Linked DNA regions of Schizosaccharomyces pombe. The main gene of each other region encodes a partner of the protein of the gene in region 4 in a complex. Each region holds a gene or a part of one and is shown on either strand. Other genes may lie near its edges. The genes, in order: rml2, mrpl33, mrpl10 and mrpl12.

Region 1 (4,362 bases), 460 kb from region 4:
TAGCGCGTCGTAATTTTCTTTGGACGGCACATTCACTCTTTTGGAAACTGCATGTCTGCGAAGCAGTTGTAGAGAAGTAGATTTAAATGGATATCGTTGCAGAGACTCAGATTGAAGAAGAATCATTGATACCCGACGCCACTAGTACTCCATTAGAAACGGAAGTGGTGGCTGATACTACATTGCGTAAAACAGCTTTACATCTAGCTGGCGTCGATAATCTTTCAGAAGAACAAGTCAAAGGATTTATTTCAGCTTATGCTCCTGAATCTCAATGTACAATTGAATGGATTAATGATAACGAATGTAAGAAGCGAAAACTGGCAAAGGGTTAGTCTAACTCTATAACCGCGTATAGGCAACGTTGTTTATGCGGATGATGATGTTTCACGAAATGCTTTATTTCATTTAATTATGGAGTCTCCGACAGAATTTTCAGAGGAATTGGAATATCAAACGAAACCACACCCAACTGTACCGACGTGTCAATTCAAAATACGTTACGCCCGCTACGGAGACAAGAAGGTTAAAAGCGCACATCTTTACTCGAGATATTATCTGTTTCACGGTGATCCTCGAGAAGAAAAGGCTCAGAAGAGCAAATCTAAAAGGTATAACTTGTGAAAACCAAATTAGTCCGGGTGCACTCATACTTTTCAAAAATCATTTCCTCTACTTTTGAGAATCTCCTTTTACTCAATTTTATATTCAAATTACTAACACTTTCGCACAGTAGAAATCAAGATGAAAGGGGTTCGCCATTAGATGAACGACTAGGTCCTAAAGTGTCTGACCTTACACTGATGGAAAGAATATTCCAAGTTCGACGCAAGCCACGCAAATCAAGGAGAGACCGTCGTTCCAGGGTTTCCAAGCGTTAATTGTGTTGTAGAGAAATATTAAATACCCAGTTTATCCGCTTTTAAGTCGCTTTTCGCTGGACGAAGGCAAGAAAAAATTAATATGCTAAATTAGCTACAATTTTATAAATAAAATTTTTTTATTTAGTTGGCCATATTAAAATAAAACCGTTCTTTTCTGCGTTTAATAGAATACTCTTTTGGTACCTGAATGATATCGATAACCCTTTTAAGGTAGATGTAAGCAAACGACAATTTTGAATGGGATAGTCCTTAGCTTTAAGCAACGTTGTGATGAACAAAAATTACCAATACAGATTTAAATTGTAAGAGCTAAACTCTTAAAAAATGCTTAAAATTTTTCGTCGATAAATGACGGTCGACACAAAATAACTATACATAAATGCATCTGGTCCACAAATGGATAGGTAATAGCATCGACTATTAAAATGGAGAAGGGATCATGAAAATTGAAATGCATTACGGTAATGTAAAACATAGAAATGTAAAAGTCATGAAGACAGAGATCATTAATAAAATGATTACCGCTTTTCCTTTCCACGAGGACGATCGCGGACGAGTAATTTATTAACATTTTTACCTCTTCTTGTTTTGTATCCACCTTTAGCCAAAACACCCCAAGGAGATTGAGAAGGTTTATTACCAATGCTTTTACCACCACCACCACCATGTGGATGGTCACATGGATTCATAGCTGTACCTCGAACCGTAGGACGAATGCCAAGCCAACGTGAACGACCGGCTTTACCAAGCTGGCGATGTTGCCAATAAATATTGCTTACAACACCAATGGTAGCAAATGATGTATCCAAAATCTTTCTCTCTTCACCACTTTGTAGACGAACGATAGCATATTTACCATCAAAAGCTATGATACGAGCGCTACTGCCAGCAGAACGACATAGCTTTGCCTTTTGATTTGGATTTACACCAATGGCATGAATGACAGTTCCTATAGGAATTAATCTGAGAGGAAAACAATTTCCTGGCTTCAAATTTTTTGCTGCAAAAGTTCCATCTTCAATTTCAGCAGCTAGGACGGGGTCCATTTCTACTGGCTCGCCATTAGAACCAGTCTTCAAAAGCGATCGAAAGCTCTCAACTGTATCGCCTTCGCGAAGCCCGTCACAAGCCAAAATATAACTTTTGTTGGCTGTTTCGGAATTCAATTTTTCAACAAGGGCAATGTGACCACTTCTACCAGGGTCATACTCAATTCTAATCACTCGATGAACACCCGGTACTTTTCTTTCAAAGTCAACAAGACGAATACGTTGTTTGTGTCCACCACCCTGATGCCTTACAGTAATTCTTCCTGTTTCATTTCTTCCACCTTTTTTTCTTTTTGCAACGGTCAAAGGTCGAAAAGGTTTCCCTTTCCAAAGGTAATCACTAACTGGTCTTTTTAAATGACGAAGACCAGGAGATATAGGTTTGTAAGTTTTAATCTTGATAAGAATTAGTAAAAAATGAATTAAGGCTTGATAAATAAAAAGTAACCCTCGTGTTAATATTACATACCTCGAACTTCGTTTTTGGTCGTAGAAGCATCCCTACATCGTAGGGTCTCTCGGAAGATTCAATTTTTTCACCGCTTGTAGATGCGGTAGAGGCATATCTGAACAGCTTTAACGCATGAATTTGAGGAATCAAATACCCCCGAAATCGATTATAACTCAACATGGGGATTTCCAACTAAACCTATGGTAAGAACTCACAATATGATGGACTGCGAATTAACGAGTTCAATCATAATTTGCGACGCTCAGTGCTAAAATCTTTACACAATCCAAGGTGTCGTTAACTGTGTAAATAAATGAACATTGATCTAGGGAATACAACATAGAGGAAATTGAACACATTAGCTATAATAATGAAGAACTTTGTTTTATTGTTTGATCATCTGTGTAGTAAATATTTTATACATTGTAAACCCGATTCTATACGTTTGAAAGTAATGGCAGGTCAACTGAGAATTTCAACCACGTTATAATATATTGGAAATTTTGATAAATTGAATTTGCTTTTCCTTCGAGTTGAGCAAAGTTAAACTAGAATTTACGACACCTGTAATAAGCCTGCTGAGCATGAAGAGTTTAAGGGATTCAAGGTATCAGGAAAACATTGCTTTCTCACAAAACTCTTCTCACATTCCTTTTTGGATGTGTGCTTAATTAATTACTAAATAAGTTCACATACCAAAAAAATCTTATTTAATATACAGTTTCAACGAAAAGTTTCAACTATGGAAATTTGTTTTGTTAACTCGTTCATTTTCGTTTCAAAACAATTCGAAGATGGGGTTGATCTGCGTTTGTTTAATATAGCTTATTAGTTTGCTTATGAAAGGTTTCGATACTATACTCTGTGTACACTGACAAAGGTCAATCAACATGAAAAGCCTTGAGATGCCATTTTCCAAAAAAAAAAGTGAAAAACACTATTTGATTGACTAGGATCTTCCAAATTCTTACAGATATTAGGTATTTTGACAACATCAAAATTGTCAAGTTTGCAATTCAAAAATGTTGCAAGTAAAATAACTGGTGTCAGGAAAAAAGGACTAATATTTATTGACTTCATATTAATTAGTCAATTGTAGAACAAGATATGTGGTACCCATGACCTCTTTGTTTATTGAGTACTTCTATAATGACTTACTTCAACTTTGCCTTCACCAACGCCAACGCGAAAACAGCCAACTTCAAGTAGGCAAAAGGAACAGACCGATTTGAAAGCATGATTGAGCATCTTAAAGGATGATTCAAAATGGTGGAAATAGCTATGTGGATTCCAATATGAATGAAACGCAAAATGATACAACTGACAACTTTGATGCTGAAATGCAAGATCTAAACGGGTATATAAGCGAAATTGTCGATGAGGCTAGGAATGTATCTGAAGTTGATGCAAAATTTTTGGGAGATACCTCTGCCCTTCAAGCTGAGGGCCTTTGGTCAGACGAAGAGTCAGATTATGAAGGCAGTGACGATGAATCAAACTTTAGTAAAACAGCCTCAAGAACCGAGGACGACATTGCGAACGAGGAATGGGAAGAAAATTTAAAGGCAGTTGCTGGATTTAGAAAAGTCCGTAAAGGTCATAAAGGTCGAGGACGTGTTAGTCGAGCTGATATGCTTCCCTCGGTGGAAGTGCAACAAATGTTGAGTTTAGCGAATCATTTGTTTGCGCAAGAAGGAAACTTCGACGAAGCCCAAAAATTAGCTGAAGAGATTGTTCGTATTGATAATAATGTCATTGCGGCTTGGAAAATGCTTGGTGAATGTCATCGTCAAAGGGGTAATGGAAGAGTAAATATTGAAAAGTGCTTAATTGCTTGGATGGCGGCTGCACATTTAAAGCCGAAAGATCATGAACTTTGGTTCACCTGTGCGAAACTCAGCGAAAGCTTAGAGTTTTGGGATCAAGCAGATTATTGTTACAACAGAGCCGTCTCTGCGAAACCTCCAAATAAGTCGGA
Region 2 (3,337 bases), 1.1 Mb from region 4:
AGTGTTATAATGGTCTATAAAAAACTTGTATTGTAAATTTCTACAATAGGAAGCTTGGGTACCACAATGGATAGGACTATTAAACCGAAAGGCATATCAAAAATTTTATAACCAGATACATACGTATAACGTATCAACATTAAAACTTTAATAGGAAAATATCACGTAGGATGAATTATCCAAACTCATAAATCCTGATCAATAATTTTTTAGTTAGCTCACACCGACTGCTTATGTATAAGACTCAACAAGAGTGTCTCTGTTGCTTATAATAGCAGAAGGTTGAGCATCTTGAAGTTTAAATATAGATTCACAGACAGCCAATTCAGTAGCCGTAGTATCAAGTCCAGCAAACGCACACCAGTCGTTCACAACTAGACCAGCACCGATAACATCGGAACCACGGTTGATGGTACCGGCAACAAGAGGAACTTGAAGAAGTGATGACAATTCATCCTGTTCCTGAATGCTAGTACGAGGGTGAACCAAAGCACCTTGATTGCTCAATGCACAATACGAACCGGTTAAAACATTGCCTGCAACGGTTTGACGGAAAACTTCAACATCTAAGACATCAGCAATAATTTCCTCGGTTTCACGCTCAATATCAGGATGAACAAGGGCCACATAGTCGTTGCAAGCCACAATGTTTCCTAGAGCTGAAAGTCGTTCATCAACACGTTGGATTTTGACAGGATCTGGAAGAGAATTGCGGAGGTGCTGTAGTTCATTATCGGTGGTAGAAGAGGGAACTAACAGACCTTTTCTATTACCACATGTCAAACGACCAATGATTCTGGTTCCTCCAATTGTGGTATGAACAACGGGTACAACATCACCTAACTCTGCCTCGAACACGCTGTTATAAAAGTTAGTGAAAAGTTGATAAATGTAAAAAATGCCAAAAAAAATAATTTGTCGAGCTGCATCGAGTCAAGGAATAATAAAGGTAATGAACAGCAAACCGCCAGAGTTTAAGTAGTGGTTTGCATTTATGTAGCAAAGTCTCTTTTACTCAATTAAAGAGTAGTTAGGCTACATCATTCACATATGTGCTATTTATTTTTCTCATAATACGTTCGACTGGTTAAGGATTTTAAGAACCTTTAAAAAAATTTTGAATCGTTTACATTTAGAACATTAAATTTTGGCATCAAATAAACGTTAAGCTTACCTGTAGAAGTTTTCAGAGCCTCCAAGCGCTACAAGTGCGTATGAGTTTGTGAGATTAGAAAAGACACCAATCCTATAATTTGTTAATATCATGCGTCTATTAAGCAAAAAAGCTGAGTAAACTTACTCATTAGAATTCTCGAATTGAGCACGAAGTGCCATTTTGGTAAAGAAAAAGTTTTATCCCAGCCAAATTTCACATCTTAAAAATAATAATCCATTGAACATCGTTAATATGATATTAGCATTGTGAAGCAGACACGTAATACCAATTAACATAATTTTTTGTGATATATCGGTAATACTGCATTACACTAATGATTTACTAGGTTGCGTATCACTATATGTTACATGTTGGAATATTAGTAAAGATCCGTTTATTGACAGTAAACAGATAAGTAGTCGTCTATACTCATAGACACCATGTGATTACAACTACTAGAAAGATGATAATTATAGATGTTACTGTAAATCGCTCCTCTCCATTTTTTAACCATATCGGTGACTTACACTAATAGACTTCTTATAACAATAAATATAACATTGTAGTTAATATACTGCATTCCACTAAATGTGGATCGCAAAAAATTCATCGTAATTCAATGTATCGTTAAATAGATAGCAACGTAGTGAATAATAGTGAACAATAACGAGCTTGCGATATGAATTGTATTTTATCGGTTGAACTAAAAGAGTTTCAATATTTAGTGTTAAACGGACTCCACGAACTTCTAGTTTACCATAATGTCATTCTTTCGAGTTCGTTTAGAAAGGTCAGCCATCGGGCTCTCGAGGTACGTGTTTTGGAAACGAGAAAAACATGCTTGTAATTGCTAACCAATATTTTAGTAAGGTGCGCAGCGTTTTGCATTCTTTGAGGTTAACAAAAAGACACTCCGTAGTCTATTGCGATGTAAATCCAATCAATGCGGGAAGAATTTTTAAAGTAAAAGAACTCGTTAGTGTCAGTACTGTGAAACAAAAGTTAGCCGCTGGGCAAGAAAAGAAGTCTCTTGCTTCTAGTAGCGGATTTACAGTGATACATCGATACAATAACGGTTTAAAAGAATTGAATAACATGTTTGAAAGTTAAATTTTCATTCTAGTTATATTTATCGTAATAGTTCATCTAACCAACTTTGGTCTTTGTTTGGCTTTTCAGACATATAGTTCCTAGAGTCGTTTCTTGAAATATGCATGCTGGAATGATTAGAAGAAATGTAATTTTCCCCTTTATCTTCTGTAATGGAAGGCGGAGCAGACTGATCCATACTTTCAAGAAAAGAATCAATATCTTCTTCCGCTTCAGCATGGCTAATGTTTACCTTTGGCTTTTGTACATTATAACGCTTACGGAATTCTTGAATTGACTTTTCATGCTCAACGCTCTCCAACATGTCGGCTACTTCTTCACGTTGGATAGTCCGAACTTTGGACTTGGGTTTTTGGTTGCTAATTCCCAAACCAGTAAGGGGCCGTGCTTGTAGTTTTGAATACTCGAAATCTTCTTCTTCATCTTGAATTGTATCTCCATTCCCCACGGTCTTCAAACTTTCCAAACTTGGATATTCTTCCTCATTGTTATCTTCATCAAAGTATTCCCCTGCATTTTTAAATCTCCATTCGTTATTTCCCAAATTTTTTTTACGAGGTTTTACAGGTGCATCATGAATGTCATGCTTTTTTTTATACGCTAATGTCGCTTTTCTCTTCCATTTATCTTGTACTACCATATGGGACGTCGTGTCTGAAGAGGCAAGGAGGAACCTGTACCCTATAAGACAATAAGTTTTTTTACAATGTTGGTCAATTTTTTTCTTTTCTCGTAGTGGTTTATATTTTTAACGACTCGAGTATAATAAAATTTGAAGCAATAATAAAGAAGAATCCTTTTTTTTTTTTTTTAAGCCAAACTTGCTTAGCGCTTTTTAATAAAAATTCGCACTCGACTGAACACTAAAAAAAAACTTTTCAATGATTGTACATTACTTGAATGTATAATAGACAGGTTTCTGGGGAAGCTTCTTCAAGATAGTTTATCTACCAGAGTTCAGCAGACCTGGGTGATCGAAGGAACCTAGATCGTTTTTCGTAACCAAAAGTTTAGAATTTTTTTTATACAATTACTTCTCGTTAAATAATTCTTCCTAAAAAACCTACTATT
Region 3 (3,858 bases), on a different chromosome or scaffold from region 4:
ACAACAATGATAGCGCCATCCATTGTAGCAGCACCAGTAATCATATTCTTAATGTAATCGGCGTGACCAGGACAATCCACATGGGCATAGTGACGATTAGCAGTTTCGTATTCAACATGGGCAGATGAAATGGTAATACCACGTGCCTTTTCCTCGGGGGCCTTGTCAATTTGACTATAATCCATAAAACTAGCTTGACCAAGATCAGAAAGGCATTTAGTAATAGCAGCCGTCAACGTCGTTTTACCGTGGTCAACATGACCAATAGTACCAATATTGACATGCGGCTTTTTTCTAACGAACACCTTAAAAAAGTTAACAAGTAATCAAAAAGATGAAGAATGAAAAAAAAATACCTTTTCGTCAGCATAAGTTCGAGCTGGGACGGTGAACCGGTTAATCAAACCTGAAGCGAAAGAAATGCGGTTCAATCGCAAGCAATTTTTTCTAAAGCCTTGAAAGAGGAGAGAGGTAGCTTTAGCTGAATTCATAACGAAGGGAGCGTGTAGGCAGAGGAGAGGTCTCTGGCGCTCGTGTTGTCCTTGAAATAAGTCTCAGCGGTGCGCATCGTTATGAGAATACTATTGACACGAGCATTTCATGAAATAAATGGTCCTGGGTGTTTGGATACAATCAATATTTGTAGAATTTATTTTATTTTGTTCTATTTTACCGCTACGCCTATATATGATGATACGCTTGTTAATAATAAAAAAATACTAGATGAACTAGTGAACAACACCGCCAAATCGAAAGCAATTGATAGTTTTTTTTTATTTGCACAATGAATGGTATTATGTCTCTGATCTCTAAAGGAATGTCAATCTGATTTTGCTAGATCGCAAGAGCAACCACCATGCAAGCAAAAATCGCTTACTATCCTGTCAAGTACAAAGAATAAAACCATTAATGAAAAGTCTCAATGACAAAGCTCAGCGTCTCGTGAATGTTGGTTAACTTCGAAGAGTCTTTTGCTTTTATTAAGTAAAAGGATGTAAGGAATAACAAGAAGTGGTGCGTGACTAAAGAAAGATAAAACTATCCATCCAACGGAATAAAGGAAAATCAAACTTTTCTGTAATATAGAATACTCAAATCAAAAGTCGTTACTATTGTACGAAGAAGCACCTCTAAAGCGAAAAATTTTAAACAAAAGAATGAGATAAAAATATGTAGATAGCTTTGTATAGTAATTTTATTCGTTCCTTTAATTACGAGGTGGAGCAATCAAAATAACCGAATCACCTAAAGTTCATTAGCATTTGGCGAAAAAGGAAAAACAGTTTCGAAAAGGAAAGCTTAATCATGGTCAAACTTTTCGAGCGTAATATTTAGAATCTACGTACCACGAACAAAGAGCATCTCATAATGTTTGCGAATCGTTTTTAAGGCCTTGTCCTTATCGGTCTCTTCATCATCAAAAATAGTTACAATTTCTTCAGCATCTCCTAGTACCATATTCTAAAATACGTGTAAGTAATCCATCCAAATGCGAGTTATGAATATGATTCATACCAAATGTTCATCATAGGCCTACAATCGAGTTAGTATAACCAATTCAGAATAAGAAAAATATTCAAGAAACGTTAAAAAAATTTCATACATGAAGACGGCCATTTAATTCTCTATCTCCCCGTAATTTTACATAAACGATTTCATCCAAAGAAAGCCTCACCAAATCAAGAGGTTCCGCGACCTACAAACATTAGTTACCGAGTTACTGTTGATAAATCTTACTGCCTGTGCCGATTCCATTATAAAGTAAAGGGTTATTATATCTACCAAGCAAGATCGCTGTTGCTGCAATTATGCACTGGCATATGTCAGGAAGAAATAAAGGAGGAAACAAATTCGAATTGCGCAGTGCAGCGATGCTGAATATAGTAATAAAGATATTTTTATGAGACGCTATAGAATTTTACGTATTCGTGTGTGTCCGAATCTTTTGTAATAGTAAACAGCAGCCTTGGACTTATTACCATCTAAACTCGACGAAACCCGTTTTTTGAATTGGAAAATGTTTAATATTTTATCTCGGGTTTGTCGCAGTTCTTCATTTCATGGTTTTTTGAGATCCTCTGGTTATCCAAGATTTGGTGCTAGTTTCCGCGGCATCAGTATGTTGAATGATTTAAACAACAGTGCAAATTATCAGTCAAAGAAGCGAGTGGGTAGAGGCCCTGCGAGCGGTTTAGGAAAAACCTCTGGACGTGGTCATAAAGGATCTGGTCAAAGGCGTGGACGGAGAATTAAACCTGGTTTTGAAGGTGGTCAAACTCCTATCACCAAATTATTTCCTAAAGTTGGTCACAGTACGGGACATTTGAAGAAACCGTTGCGTCTGGGGTTAGGGAGAGTTCAGGAATGGATTGATCGTGGTAGATTGGATGCTAGCAAGACAATTACTATGAAAGACCTCCTCGATAGTAGATGCTGTAGAGGTATTAAACATGGAGTTGAACTTACTGCTGACGAACCTGGACTCCTTAAAACAGCAATTTCCATAGAAGTTTCTAAGGCTACAGTTCAAGCTATACAACAAATCAAAAATGCAGGCGGCAGTATAACAACAGTATATTTCAGCCCGTTGGCGCTACGTGCCCATTTGCATCCTTCAAGTTTTCGTACACCTCCTCGCCCTCCCCTTCCAGTTTCAAAGAAAGACATACGCTACTACACAAATCCACATTTTGCAGGGTATCTTGCCAACGTTAAAAATATTCGAGAGCTATATTATGGCGACCAACGATTCCCCTACGAACCGATTGTTAAAGATAAATAAGTAGTTCCCATATTACATCAGAACTTGATATATGTTCATCAAAAATCCCGCTTTCCTAATATGTCCTTAAAACTTTGTTATGTCTATTGATGATTCCGTGCAGCCTCCTTTACTTTCTTGGATGGGTTACATGTTGAGTTTTGTAAGGAAATATCTGCATCCTTTTCTTAGTACATTTGTATAATTACGTTTCCAATTTCGGTGTTTGAGCTCTCTACTGACTTTTTCGCTTACAGTTCAATACCCATTAGTAATATTTTGAATACCTTTCTCATTCGAAAATATAGCTTCCTTCTTTATCCCCCAAATCCCCTTGTTGTAGTCAGTTCATTCTCTGTCAGATAAACCCTTTCTCACATTTATTCATTTGCTTCATTAGTAGATTTGAGCATTCGCAGTCATGCACTTTTTTTGTATAATCAAGAACCCCTGCCGACTGTTTGTTAAATTATTATCTTTTGCCTTTTTTTGTTTAAAGCTTTCTTAAAATTTTTTCATCCTCCGATTGTCTATCCAACAGGAAAAGATCTTTCAAAGGATCTCCTTTTCAAAGGCATGCAAGGAAGAAGAAAAAGAACATTTGTTGATCAATGGAACGGTTAAAGACTTATATATAAGAATGACTAAGAAAACCGGCATTTGTAATAGAAGTGTAAGCGAACCATAGTAGTACATTAACCTTATGATCAATTAATCTACATAAACGGTCAATTCTAAAAAAAATAATACATATTGACTGGGAAACTCCTTATTTCATATATTAGAAAGGGACATTTATCAACTCTCCAATTAGTGCACTAAAACGCAGTATGGAAGGAACGATGCTAAGAACTGCTTCAACACTTTGTCAATAAACCAACAATGTCGGCTCCGTCGCCGTTTATTAAGAAACTTGCAGCTAATGGTAAATTTCTTACATATAAATGATTAATGTACTAACACTGTAAGATCGAAAAACTCGTGATAAGGCTCTTGAATCGTTGCAGCGGTTTTTAAGCCAAAAGAAAAAATTTGAAAGGTTAGACTTTCTCAAGCTTTGGAAGGGCTTATTTTACTGTATGAATTTTTTTGGGTTA
Region 4 (4,424 bases):
GTTAAGTCCTGATTATGTTGAGTTTGTAGAAGCTTATTCTGCTTAGGATCGCTTTTACTTGCAACTTGACGGGTGTATTTCCATTATATCATTATCCCGTTGTTATATTTTTCTCCTTGAACAATACATCCTGCATTTTTTTTCTCTTTTCGAGAGTATTTTTCTCCATTATATTTACTTTTTAGGCAAACCTTATAAGTTTGTCGCTGGCCATTTTAGATTTCAAAGCAGTTCTTTATTGAAAGGAAATGTTGATTTTGTATGTACGACTTAGTAGAGCGTATAAAAAAATAAAAATTGTTTACTGATTCATGGGTTTCATTTTACCATATAAGTAAGGTCGGTTTTTGTGCTTTTATTAAAGTATAGTAGTTATTCTTTCCCGCTATTTATACTCAGAGATCCTAACAGTTTGGTGAATGGTTATAACTTTATCAGGGCTATATAAAAATATCTTTGAAAATTTACTATTTCGCTGTTGAAATTACTAAAAAAGTAGTATTTAATAAAATGAGATTTTAGTTTCTTTAAAGGTACAGTAATAGTGTTTGAAATAAAGTAACATGCTACTTAAAGCAACAGATTTTGCAACATGCTAACAGTTTGAAGACCTCTTAATATTACTTATGCACTGAGTATATTTTAATTTATTTGAATCTGGAAAGGTTCAACGTCCTTTCGCAAAATAGTATCCCAACGCTTTTTTTAGTCTCAAATTTCAGAGATTGCAGCTTCAAGAATAGATGAACACTTGGCAAAGGAAGTTTATTCTATATTTGAAATTTAAGACAACACACATTATTATTATTTAAAAAATTATTCTTGATGTTTTTGGAATTCAAAGTTCACGAAGTATAAGAAAAACCATCATAACAAAAATCGTTGTTGCACTCGCAATTACCAATATACTTGCAATAATAAAATGGATCCATTTGAGGGCCGCATGACATTTCTACAGCTTTTGGGAAAATTGAATGCATCGCAATTCTCTCAAATTAAACCCGCGCAATTTGCAATTAAGCATCTAGACTTGGAAGAAGACTTATATTCATGTATATGGGAGGAACTAGAGTCAGGTTCGTTCAATACAAGAGTGAATATCATGTACTTTGTGGACACACTCTGTGAGATGTGCTTAAAAAATGGCCTTACAGGTGGATATCTTAATATGATTAGTAGAGATATCTGTAAGCTAGTCCAGAACGTAGCTCCTATAGGAGCTGCTGGAGCTGCTAACGCTCCAGAGGTTAGAAAAGTACTCCAGTCTTTGCATGAAAAGAAGGTAATCGATGATAATCAATATAAAGATGCTATGGCTACGGTAGAAGCCCATGAACAAGCGAGCAAGTCAGGTGATACCAGTACTTCAGGAGCCATTTCAAAAAACGACATTCTTAAGAGGATTGAAGAAGACAGAGAGCGACACAAAAGAATGCGTGAAAACATTTGGGCTATTTCAGAACCAGAGTTAGAAGCGGAAATTGCATGGAACACTACCCAAGGAATTACTGAAAGCGATTTGGAATCCCTAAAGGATGAATACGAAAAGTTTAATGAATGTCTTCATGCAACTTCCTGAACCGAAGAGCGAAAACATAGAGTGTAACCCAAATAGAATAAAAACATATAATTAACTAATAATTTTGGAGTATTTTATACATTACCTAATATCTGGTTTTTTTAGAGATGATGAATTTTCCCTCCGTAGCTTAGTTTTTATGGGAATCCAAGAAAGTAAATCGTGTCACAATGTCAAAGCAATAACAAAAAGGTTGCCCAAAGAATTTGAATGGCGGAAAAGCATAGAAATGAAATTTTTTATAAACAACCCAGTTTATTCGAGGACTACTTTACAAGAAAGTTTCTCTAACTTCGATTTTATAGCTTCAGCATCCTCTTTCAAAATATTTTCTTTCAAAACCTTTGGAGCACTTTCAACGAATTTCTTTGCGTCCACAAGAGATAATCCCAAAAGAGACTTCACCTCTTTGATCACCTTGGCTTTCGAACCAGCATCAAACGATTCGAGTTTCAAATTCCAGGTGGTTTTTTCCTCTTTCTTTTCCTCAGGAGCTTTCTCTTCAGAAGGAGCGGCTGAAGCTACTGCTGGAGCCACTGCTGCCATCGGAGCTATTTCAGCAATGTTTAACTTCTCCTTTAATTGCTTTACAAGTTCAGACGTCTCTAACAATGATAGAGAGCTTATTTTGTCAACCATTTCCCCAATTTGGGCATTATTGTTTTGTACAGATGCGGCAGCTCGAAATGATCGCGTGTTTACCAACGATCTTGCCCAGTTCTTACTGGAAGATAAAGCACGTCTTTTAAAGTTAGTATAAATTTGTTAATTAAAAATAATTACAATCTTACAGATTTCTTGTTTGGCGTGATGCGATGCGAAACATGCTGTATTTTAAAATTATACTTGAGGTGAAGTAAGGTGCAAGTGAGATGGGGGTTGGCAAGTTAAGTATAGTAACTACAACTTTTAGGTGATCATTCATCAAATATCTAAAATATGTTCAATGGATCTTATTAATTTTTCATTAGTAATAATTAGAAAATAAACTAACCTCGTAGTAAAAAATGCTCTAGAATTATTAAGTGTTCAACAGTTAGTTGAAGAGAACAAATAAATCTAACCCTTTATTTTTATGCTTTTATCTCCCTGTTAATTATCAGGCATATAACAAATAAAACAAAAATGCATAATGTATTGAAATATTGCAATAAATCCACAAATTGATGGTGGTATTACATATTAGAAAAAAAATTAACAATGAGATAATTACTTTATGCTGCTCCGGCATGCTTTGTCAGTAGACTTCATCCCACGACCATAGTACCAACCGCCTTCAATCAAATTCCTTTCATCACGTTCCCATTTAGACATTTTGGTATTCATGTCTTTAGGATCTAAATCTAGTAATGTTATGTGATCTTTACCAATGTATAAAGTCACATCTCGAAGGGTCATCGCTAACGCAACATCAGTACGAGAGTATTGCTCTTGTAGGTCACGAAGCTTCCGTAGTATACCAGACTGAAACAATCTCATTGCGATATCAGGACTCACAAATCCTTGAAGACAGCACAAAAACTTGGGCCAATTGTTGAAATCAAGCTGTAGAGGACAAAAACCAACGGGTCTACCACGCATACGGCTAAGGGCACACGTTCGACAAACAACCCAGTCAGGTGGAGCGGCAGGGGACTGAGTCAACCATTTTGGTTTCATTTCAATTCCATCTTTGAGATCTTTCATTACCAAACAGTATTGCTCATTTAAATTTAAATAAATACCAGAAGCATTTTGGGCCGCCAGCAAAAAATCCCTAGTAACTGGCTGCAAAAAAACCTCAATTAAAAAGCTTTCCATTCCAGCAAACAAAGGATAAATTACATTTTGATAGTATTCATAAACTTGTTCTGTAGTAAAAACCTGTCCTCGACGTCGAAGACGAATTACCTTGTCTTGAAAGTAAGGATTTTTACCAACATACTCAAACACCACATTCGCACTTCCTGAGGCAAGGTATGCCCATTCAGAAATCACCAGGGATTTACCGGTGGAGGAATGATTGGAGATAACGGATGTTGGTGAATAAGGTGCAGGGGATTTAAAAAGCGGATTCGATATAATTGGAACTTGAAAATTACTACTAGCAACCGATTCATCTTGGGACTCTACACCAGAAGAAAGGGCTTTCATGGATGGAGGACGCGACATAATTGGAGTTGAAGGAGTATGTGTGTCAACGGGAGAATTTGTAACAGAAGAGCTAGCGGTACTAGCCATAGGCGAAAGGCTTACCTGAGACGCTGAAGTATGCAAATTCTGAGCGATGAGAGAATTCATGGCATCAATTTTTCCAGCTTCCCACTCTCTATTTGATAAAACATCACCAGATTTTGGAAGTTCTACGGGAGGACGGTTGTTGTTTACGGCAATTAAGGAAATGCTTTCAGCAGCCTGGCAAACTGAGGAAAACTCAACGAGCCACGTTTGGGGAATATCGTCTTGAAAACAATCCCAAGGGCGAACAATGTTGTGCATTTTTCGAAACATTTGAAGTTGCAAGCAGTAAAAATGCTTCATAAGTTGTCCAAAAAAAACACGACTTTTTGCAATAAGAGTTGGGAAGGACAAAGTTAAATGCTTCTGAAGGTCATCCAATTCACCATTGACACGGACAAGCTGGCTTTGTAATGCTTTAATTTTACTTTTTTTGGTTTCAGGATCAGGCAATTCGTAAACAACCAATAATTCTTTTTGAATTTTTTCAAGTTCTTTTACTTTTTTATCTCTTCTTTTAATCATTTCAACTGCCTTCTTTACATAGCCTTTGACCTCCTTGCAAGGAGCAATAACTATGACATGGAAATTTTGCAGGGCAAGCAAGACTTCACGACGTTGACGTTCC

The links.
Region 1: mrpl12 (region 4) and rml2 share a complex: the UniProt entries of both Schizosaccharomyces pombe proteins name them as parts of the mitochondrial large ribosomal subunit.
Region 2: mrpl12 (region 4) and mrpl33 share a complex: the UniProt entries of both Schizosaccharomyces pombe proteins name them as parts of the mitochondrial large ribosomal subunit.
Region 3: mrpl12 (region 4) and mrpl10 share a complex: the UniProt entries of both Schizosaccharomyces pombe proteins name them as parts of the mitochondrial large ribosomal subunit.

Annotation. Positions count from the first base shown.
Region 1 is NC_003421.2:694,124-698,485, reverse strand, and holds rml2 (mitochondrial 54S ribosomal protein uL2m), read right to left. Parts: upstream 2,575-4,362; 5' UTR 2,565-2,574; coding exon 2,403-2,564; exon of another isoform or gene 2,379-2,402; intron 2,330-2,378; coding exon 1,403-2,329; 3' UTR 1,004-1,402; downstream 1-1,003. Other genes in the region: RNA cap binding protein cbc3, read left to right, coding at 87-306, 359-611, 734-881; transcription factor TFIIIC subunit Sfc4, read left to right, coding at 3,641-4,362. UniProt on the Schizosaccharomyces pombe protein: Component of the mitochondrial ribosome (mitoribosome), a dedicated translation machinery responsible for the synthesis of mitochondrial genome-encoded proteins, including at least some of the essential transmembrane subunits of the mitochondrial respiratory chain.
Region 2 is NC_003421.2:2,221,152-2,224,488, reverse strand, and holds mrpl33 (mitochondrial 54S ribosomal protein uL30m), read left to right. Parts: upstream 1-1,906; 5' UTR 1,907-1,917; coding exon 1,918-1,967; intron 1,968-2,022; coding exon 2,023-2,266; 3' UTR 2,267-2,285; downstream 2,286-3,337. Other genes in the region: tif6 (translation initiation factor-like ribosome biogenesis protein), read right to left, coding at 232-859, 1,175-1,246, 1,301-1,335; SPOM_SPCC1919.07 (uncharacterized protein), read right to left, coding at 2,286-2,906. UniProt on the Schizosaccharomyces pombe protein: Component of the mitochondrial ribosome (mitoribosome), a dedicated translation machinery responsible for the synthesis of mitochondrial genome-encoded proteins, including at least some of the essential transmembrane subunits of the mitochondrial respiratory chain.
Region 3 is NC_003423.3:1,820,919-1,824,776, forward strand, and holds mrpl10 (mitochondrial 54S ribosomal protein uL15m), read left to right. Parts: upstream 1-1,984; 5' UTR 1,985-2,017; coding exon 2,018-2,782; 3' UTR 2,783-3,039; downstream 3,040-3,858. Other genes in the region: translation elongation factor EF-Tu Tuf1, read right to left, coding at 1-305, 357-491; U6 snRNP-associated protein Lsm3, read right to left, coding at 1,208-1,245, 1,347-1,461, 1,516-1,533, 1,604-1,696, 1,738-1,755; Nop52 family nucleolar protein, read left to right, coding at 3,644-3,686, 3,731-3,838. UniProt on the Schizosaccharomyces pombe protein: Component of the mitochondrial ribosome (mitoribosome), a dedicated translation machinery responsible for the synthesis of mitochondrial genome-encoded proteins, including at least some of the essential transmembrane subunits of the mitochondrial respiratory chain.
Region 4 is NC_003421.2:1,158,491-1,162,914, reverse strand, and holds mrpl12 (mitochondrial 54S ribosomal protein bL12m), read right to left. Parts: upstream 2,460-4,424; 5' UTR 2,406-2,459; coding exon 2,371-2,405; intron 2,322-2,370; coding exon 1,835-2,321; 3' UTR 1,580-1,834; coding exon of another isoform or gene 923-1,579; 3' UTR 599-922; downstream 1-598. Other genes in the region: protein Nro1, read left to right, coding at 1-46; Lsk1 complex gamma subunit lsg1, read left to right, coding at 923-1,579; ipk1 (inositol 1,3,4,5,6-pentakisphosphate (IP5) kinase), read right to left, coding at 2,789-4,424. UniProt on the Schizosaccharomyces pombe protein: Component of the mitochondrial ribosome (mitoribosome), a dedicated translation machinery responsible for the synthesis of mitochondrial genome-encoded proteins, including at least some of the essential transmembrane subunits of the mitochondrial respiratory chain.